Linked DNA regions of Arabidopsis thaliana. The protein of the gene in region 1 interacts with the protein of each later gene in a pairwise test. Each region holds a gene or a part of one and is shown on either strand. Other genes may lie near its edges.

Region 1 (3,927 bases):
CAAGTTCTTTCCTCTGCCAACACAAGACAAGTGAAGGCGACGAAGACTGTCTCTTCTCCAAGTGAAACCCTCTCATTGGATTCCTCTGCAACAAATACTCCGCTTGTGTCTCCGCCGTCTGACTCAGCGTCACAGGAGTAAACCCACATTGCCCAAATAAGCTTCTCCACGGCGGTGATCTCTCCATCCAACGGTAACGATTCGTCAACAGTTTCTGTATCGACGGTTGCACACAAAACCTCTCAATACTCGTAGCAGCTTCCGCATTATTCAGATTCCCAGAGTCGAGAGACTCGAGCAGAGATGTGTAGTACTGAAGCGCGTTAATCACACCGTTAGGGAACGGCGCGTCGTTGTTACGGTCGCAGCTTCTGTCTGAGCAAACGACGACGTTTGGTGAGATTTGCTTGAGGAAACGAAGTATCAATGGGAGGTAACCGGAGACCATGGAGCTGATTGGGAGATTCACAGCGATTGCTTCTTTCTCCGATGATCGGAATAAAGACAGTGGCCAATAAGTTGGATTCAAGAGAATCTCCATGTTTAAGAGCTCGATTTCGAAGGAGACACCTGTTTCGCCGGCGAAGCTTCTGAGATTTTCTTCAGTGAATCGGAGCTCGAATTCGTCGGAGACAGTTGAAGGAGAAGCGAAAGCTGTAATCTTTAGCGACGGAGCTGATGAAGATCTGTTTCTTTTTCCGGCGAGCTCTTGAATCAGAGACGCCCATTGACCTCCATAACCGATATCGAAATCGACAATGTGGATCCGATCAAACCCTTCGAATGACTCGAGAATCGTTTGGTTTGCTGTGAAGTTGACGAATTGAAGAAACGGTGACGTTTCTGAGAAAGCTCTGTAAGCTGCGATCCGAAAGATTAGGTTTTGAGGAGGTGAGAGAGACGGTGGTGATAATGATGAGTCTTGAAGGAGAGAGTGAAGAGCTTCTGTTATATACGAAGCTGCTCTGTGGAACGGAGGTTTAGGATTGTTGTTAGTGTCGTCGTTGTTGTTGTTAAGGTTGTGATTGAGCCGCGCCAATATCCCTTGCGCGAGAACGGGATTGTTATCTCCGCCGTTTGTGGTGAGCTCCGCCGCCGCAGAGAATAGCTGGTCGATGATTACCGCTGACTGGTCTTGGTCGTTTTGGTCTTCTCCGGCTATCTTTGGCGGTGTGAGAAACGGGTCGTGAGATTCGTGACCCGGATCCGAGAACGGGAAAACCCACTGGAGGTGTTGAGATCCGGGTTGACCCGAATTGAGCCGTTTCGCAGGAGGAGACGACGGAGGATCCGAGAAGAAACCCGGATTTGGGTTTATTGAAATCTGAAACTTTTCTTCTTCCGGTGCGTTTTGAAAAGGGAAGCCATATCCAAAGAGTGGATTAGGATTATCAATAACCGGGTCGGATCCAGAACCGATGTCGAAACCCACAAACTCCGAACCCGGATCCACTACATCGCCAGCCATGATTAATCTAAAAATACTCTGTTCTTGTCCCGGCGAGCCACCGGAGAGAACACCATCGAGATCCTCGAAACCCATTTGGTCGCATTTCCCATCGGCGCCGGAAAAAGTAGCAGCAGCAGCGCCGCCGCCGCTGGGACCACCGTGAGAAGAAGACAGCGTGGTGGTTGAAGAAGAGACGAAAGGGCTTGGACTTCTAACAGAGTCTAAAACAGACGTCGGCTCCGAGAAACCACCATTGTTGACAACAAAGCAGAGATCTTCTTCTACTCGTCCATGGAGCTTCTCTGGATTAGCCCAGATTTTGTATCCCGGAGAAGAAGAAGAATCTAAGAAACCCAGAACCCCCTTCCCTTGAAATTGCTCAAAGGGCAGGGGCATGACCAATCTTACAGAGTCAGAAAGAGAATTTAAGAGTGAGAACAAAGAAACCCAGAAAAACCCTAGATCTCAGAACTTAAAGAGGAAGACGAAGATGAAAGCTTGAAACTGAAATTGGCGCCCACATTATCTCACACTCGGTATTAATAACAATCTTTCTTCTCGTTGCTTATGTATATTGACTCTGGATGATTCCAACAACATTCCAAAGTGATGATCTTCATAAAAAATGCTCTCTTTTTTTTTTTTTTAAGTAAAGGATTTGGTTTTTGCTGTGTGTGTGGTGCCTTGTGTCTGTAGATTTACTTATCTACATCTGTACTCATTTTATATCCCCTCGTTTCTAACCCTACTCGCACTTACGGCGCGTCACTCTTACTCTCCAAGAGATCATTGATTATATAAGTTTAAGCCATGAAAATCGAAATCAAAGTGTCATTAATCGAATAAATTTAGCCTTAATCATAAATTGACTAAATTACTATGATGACAACATAATAAATAAGGAAAACACTGGATTGAGGAAAAAAAAAACAAGGAAACCAATAAATTTTATGCATATCGACAAAATTACTATTCTACATTTTTCGTAAATTTTGTTCGATTTATAAAATAAACTTGCATCTTGTAAAATAATTTGTTATTTAGTGAAATAGCAATTGGGTGATTTAATATATATGTGCAGTAACATGTTTTATATTAAATAGTATGATAGTAAAAATATACTTCATTATATATGTATAAAAACTAAGTCAAGGGTCAAATGAAAATGAACCAAAAGATTTTTGTTCTTTTTTCTTCAAACCAATAGATTTGTTTACTTAAAGGATGTGTCAAATGTTTGACAAAAAAAAAAGGATGTGTCAAATTTATTTTTGAAATTACAGGTAAAAAACATTTTGAGAGCGAAATCGTAAAAATACTTAAAATAGTCAAAATTATTTACTTATTTATTAAGAATATGGGATCATATAGTGTATAATTCATTAGATCAAACTAAATAAGTAATAGGAGTATGAAGAAAAGAAAGAAAATAAATTGAATTGTCGAAACCCAAAAACCTAAAAGAGTCAGTTATTAGTTGATTGTCTTACAGTAAGTAATTCAATAGTCCAGAACTGTTGAGGCGCGTTAGATAACGATCAATCTGAAAGACAGTACTATTAAAAAAATCAAAAACATATACCGAGGTTTCAGAGCAAAAAGCGAATTTGATACAGATGGCTTTATTGTTAATCATTGTTTTCCATAATTACCCTTGCTTTCTATTAACACACTCTGTTTTTTTTTTTTATCTAACGGTTGAAATTGCATGAACTCTGGAGAAGATCTCATGGCTCTAGTCTAGATTTTTTATAAACTAACTAATAAATGACATATTGACTATAAAATCTTGCATTTGCTAATCAAGTTTAATTTTGAACGACAAGTAGACACGGTCAAAACTAAAATTATGACAAATCTTTAGCCTATGTTAGTTGATGTTTACACGTGTTTGCGATAATCAAATCGTTTTATTCCACCATTCTTTTCTAAAATCATCTATATCATTTCTTCTTCTTTTTTTCACTTCTTTGACAAACTTGAAATACTTAAGTGGCCGTTTATTGGTGGCGGTAATAGAATAGAGGATACCAAAAGGAGATTAAAAAGAAAAGAGGTGGAGCTGGATTGCGAAGACAAGTTGGAACTTTTGGTAGTTTGTGTGTGAATGGAAGGGAGACATGGCTTATGTGATTGCCCTAAACATATTTCTATTTTTTAAGCCAAAATAATATAAAAACAAAAATCTTTGTAATTGGACATTGTAATAATGGGAGACATGTTTTTTTTCCTCCAAGACAAACAAGAAACCTCCATGTGAATTTCCACCACCTTGTAATATGTCTAACAACATGTATTCTATTAAACTAGTATTTCTTTCTGCTTTGTTGTTATATTTTAGGATTAAAAAATGACCAATTTGCGTAATTTAATCAACTCATTCTATACATTCTATAGGTTGATGACTGGCTAGTGGAGGGACACATCGACCGTGTGTTACCTTGCATACATACTCGTGATTCGGTTTCACGGAAATT
Region 2 (3,906 bases), on another chromosome or scaffold:
GGTGCCTCAACCTATGTGGGCGGTTGCGCCAGGGACTACGAATGGAGGTAGTGCGTTCTGGATGCTTCCGATGAGCGGTTCGGGTGGGCGGGAGCAGATGCAGCAGCAGCCTGGTCACCAAATGTGGGCGTTTAATCCAGGGAATTATCCAGTTGGGACAGGACGAGTAGTAACTGCACCAATGGGGTCAATGATGTTGGGAGGTCAACAGCTAGGATTAGGAGTGGCAGAGGGCAACATGGCGGCTGCAATGCGTGGCAGTAGAGGCGATGGTTTGGCCATGACTCTAGATCAACATCAGCATCAGCTCCAACATCAAGAGCCAAACCAGAGTCAAGCTAGTGAAAATGGTGGTGATGACAAAAAGTGATCAATCCTTTTCTCTAGTTCCACCTCATGACATTGTAATGACCACACTCGAGTTTGAAGATTCGCAATCTGCGGTTTGGCTATTAGCAACTCCATTTGTAAAACATGTTTTGGCGATGGCGGTTGAATGCTGCCATGCTTGAATGACAAATATGGTGAAACAGATAATGGTTTTAAGCTTTTGAACAGATTTGTCACATCATTTGTGGGTTTTTGTGTGCCTATGTGTGTTTTCTTGATTTCATCTCTCCTTTTGATTGTACCTTTTTATTAATAGATTTGTGAATATGTTGATCTTTCTTGGCTTTTGGGTTCTACGATACTCAAACAAAACTTTCACTTCCAATCAAAGTAAAAAAAAATATATCTGTCAGATTATCATTATTACAGCATCAAACAGCCAGCAAAAGAGGAAGACACAGAAGACTTAACCATAACGATAAGACTTGTGGCTAAGATCCAAAGGGAGAAAGAAAAACTCTCTTGCAAAAGCAGAGTTTGAGAATTCATACAAATTATTCAAGCTGTGAACAAGAGCATCCTGAGGGACTTAACCAGATTGAGTCTTCCTCTGCTGGAAAACGACTGCGAAGATAGGAACCCCAACACCGATGCTGAAAGCGGTGAATACACCGAGAGACATCTTGAGAGCTTGGTACTTCATGCGGTCCAAATTGTACATGTGTTTTGCGTGGAGGTAGTATTCATCGTAACCACCATGTCCTCCTCCGCTCATCTTCTTAACTCCAGTCGAGTGGAAGCTTCTAGTCACTGTTGTTGATGATATCAAAGAAATCTTCAGCAAGTTTTGAAATATTACCAATCAAACACTCATAAATCATCTTATAGCCCATTTAGTTTCAAGAGATACATCAAAACAAGCTGATCATAGCATGAACATGGAGCCTTTCACTGATCAACCAAAACTATCAAAACACGAACATGGAAAATTTCCATGAAACAAGGAAACATCAAAATATGCATTTCTAATTTCATGATACAATTTTTCAGCCTAATCATAAACAATCTGTTTCGCATCACGCCATTAAAGCGTGTTTCTATGACAAATTCGCGAGCAGAGAAGTTTCAAATCCCAGAATTCAATCAACGAAGAATCGCATCGGAATCAATCCGCGGCTAATCAGAAACATTGATATCTAGGCAATCAAACAAAACCTTAGAATAATCGATTCCTGGGAAATCAAACAAAACCCTAGACAACAAAAAAGGGGAAAAACAAAGAAATGCAAAACCAATTCAGCAGATACTTCTATTGGTACTGACCAGATCTGGAGACTGATGCTTCGGAAGAAGCAATGATCTTAGATACAGATCTGATGCTGGTGCTCAACGCCATGATTCAGAACTAATCGAGAAATTGCAAATGATGAACGACTTCTCTGGAAATTTTACGGCGAATTTGTTTTGGGGAGGAGAGGAGACTGAGAAATGAGAGATGATATCACACGTGCAAAGCGACATCTTCTTTTGGGCCAGGCCCATTTACTCTTACACAAGGCCTTTATTTAACTGTGTTGTTCAAATATTTTTGTTTTAAGTAAAAGCTGACAAAAATGTTCAGAAAAAAAAAACTTTGGGAATTTTCTTAGGAATCATATAACATGTCAAAATAAAAATTCATGTCACTTTCTTTGATGAACATGAAATATACTAATTTTTGCTTGCAAATCTCCACGTGTAGAGTCACCATTTGTCCACGTAGCTGAACTATTTTATCTTTTCTAACCCCAAAAAAATCTCTGGATGGTCATGAGCTAGCGATGATTCTTAACCACAGAAAACAGACGATGGAAGCAAGAAGCGTATCTTATCTCTACGTTTCATATTAAAGCGCATGAAAACGAACATAATAAAGATTCTCTTTTTTTTTTTTGAAAAATGCTAGAAAAATAAACATGGGTCACTTGCCACAGAGCCTCTACTCCGCCGCTGGACCAAAGTTTCCATATCCTGGAAGCTCCGGTCTAGGAGTAGATCAACGGAAGCTGACGTGGAGCCGCTTCCCGGTGTTCCTACGGTGCGCGTCGACGGAGTCGTTAACGAGTTTGACTCAGAATAATGCGGCGGAGATAGAGTTGAAGTATCTGGTGAGTCAACACGGGTGGGACGTGAGGAGATTGAATAGAGACGACGAGGATGAGATCAGGAGAGTGTCTCTTGTTCAAGCCGAAGCTTTCCACATCCCTCTTGCTCTTTTTGATGATTTTTTCTTCATGTTTTTTCAGGTTTGTTTATTTTTCATTCTCATATATGATTTACATTGAAGATTATTGTTTTGATGTATATGAAGATTTTGATAATATGTAATACAGGCAGAGGTTCTATCAGCACTTCTTTACAAACTAAAGAATTCACCACCTGACAGGTAAAACAAATAACATAACATAATTTCTTTAAGACTAGTTTTTAAATGTGATTAATTATAAAAGTTTTAAGAATTTGGCAGATATGCATGTCTCGTGGCGGAGCAAACAAGTGAAACTGAAACTTTGTCGAGCTCAAGTGTTGTCGGAGTAGTTGATGTAACAGCTCAAACTGAAAGTTCAGTACTTCGCTATTTTCCGGGCGTCGAAGAATATCTATACGTCTCGGGTTTAGCTGTCTCAAAATCTCAAAGGAGAAAGAAGATGGCAAGTACATTGTTAAAGGCATGTGATGTTTTGTGTTACTTGTGGGGTTTCAAGCTTCTTGCTCTAAGAGCTTATGAAGACGATGCAGCTGCTAGAAATCTTTACTCGAATGCCGGCTACAGTGTGGTCGAGACTGACCCGTTGTGGACCTCTACTTGGATAGGCAGAAAACGTCGCGTTCTTATGAGTAAACGCTTTTCTTAGGCGTTTTCTTCATGTACATTTTGGTTAAAACAATAAACACACTACCATCTAATTGGATACAGAGTAAATGTGCAGAAACATGAACTGAACTGAAATTTTAGACGACCAACAAGATTTCAAGAAACAAATTATCCAGAGACCAAACTTTTATACAAAAGGGTTAAACTAAACGGTGGCACGACCATGTTTTGTTTCTACATCTAAGATGGACAAAAGCGGCAGCAAACGTTTTTTTCCTAAATAAACGATATAAAAGCCGATCGAAACTATTGACATTCAATAACCTGACACGCTCCCTTGGAGCCAACAAAAACAGAGTCAGTGAATGGACAGTCACGCAGACGGTCTAGTGAGGAGTGACTTGAGATCTAGAGGCGGGAGATCTAATCCCGGGACATGATTGCCTGCTGGTCCCATCCAGAGACCTCCATTCTGATGTGGTAGCAGTACCGGCGACTGACTGTTGCTCTTCTCTGTAGATGTTTCTTGCTTCTTCTTCACAAACTCAAAGAACTCAGCGACCTGGCGTGCATACCTTTTAACAACATCAATCAAGAAAGTATCTATTAGATTTATGATTCCAAATAAGTTATGGTGACATTACAGTAGTGTGAGCACTTACTGTGTCTTTGCTTCAATATCCCGGCTGAAGTCGATATTGGGTTCACAGTCCAAAACCAGA

The links.
Region 2: the proteins of HAM2 (region 1) and AT1G72030 interact in a two-hybrid assay, tested with the Arabidopsis thaliana proteins (2 studies listed by BioGRID).

Annotation. Positions count from the first base shown.
Region 1 is NC_003074.8:22,410,522-22,414,448, forward strand, and holds the start of HAM2 (GRAS family transcription factor), read right to left. Parts: upstream 2,143-3,927; 5' UTR 1,847-2,142; coding exon 1-1,846.
Region 2 is NC_003070.9:27,108,602-27,112,507, forward strand, and holds AT1G72030 (Acyl-CoA N-acyltransferases (NAT) superfamily protein), read left to right. Parts: upstream 1-2,230; 5' UTR 2,231-2,285; coding exon 2,286-2,615; intron 2,616-2,702; coding exon 2,703-2,755; intron 2,756-2,836; coding exon 2,837-3,224; 3' UTR 3,225-3,331; downstream 3,332-3,906. Other genes in the region: AT1G72010 (TCP family transcription factor), read left to right, coding at 1-370; AT1G72020 (TonB-dependent heme receptor A), read right to left, coding at 920-1,140, 1,654-1,726; dNK (P-loop containing nucleoside triphosphate hydrolases superfamily protein), read right to left, coding at 3,558-3,759, 3,847-3,906. UniProt on the Arabidopsis thaliana protein: Protein acetyltransferase with dual specificity triggering both N-alpha-acetylation (NTA), with a preference for leucine, methionine, serine, valine and to a lower extent threonine and alanine as substrates (can also use glycine), and epsilon-lysine acetylation (KA) of several plastid proteins.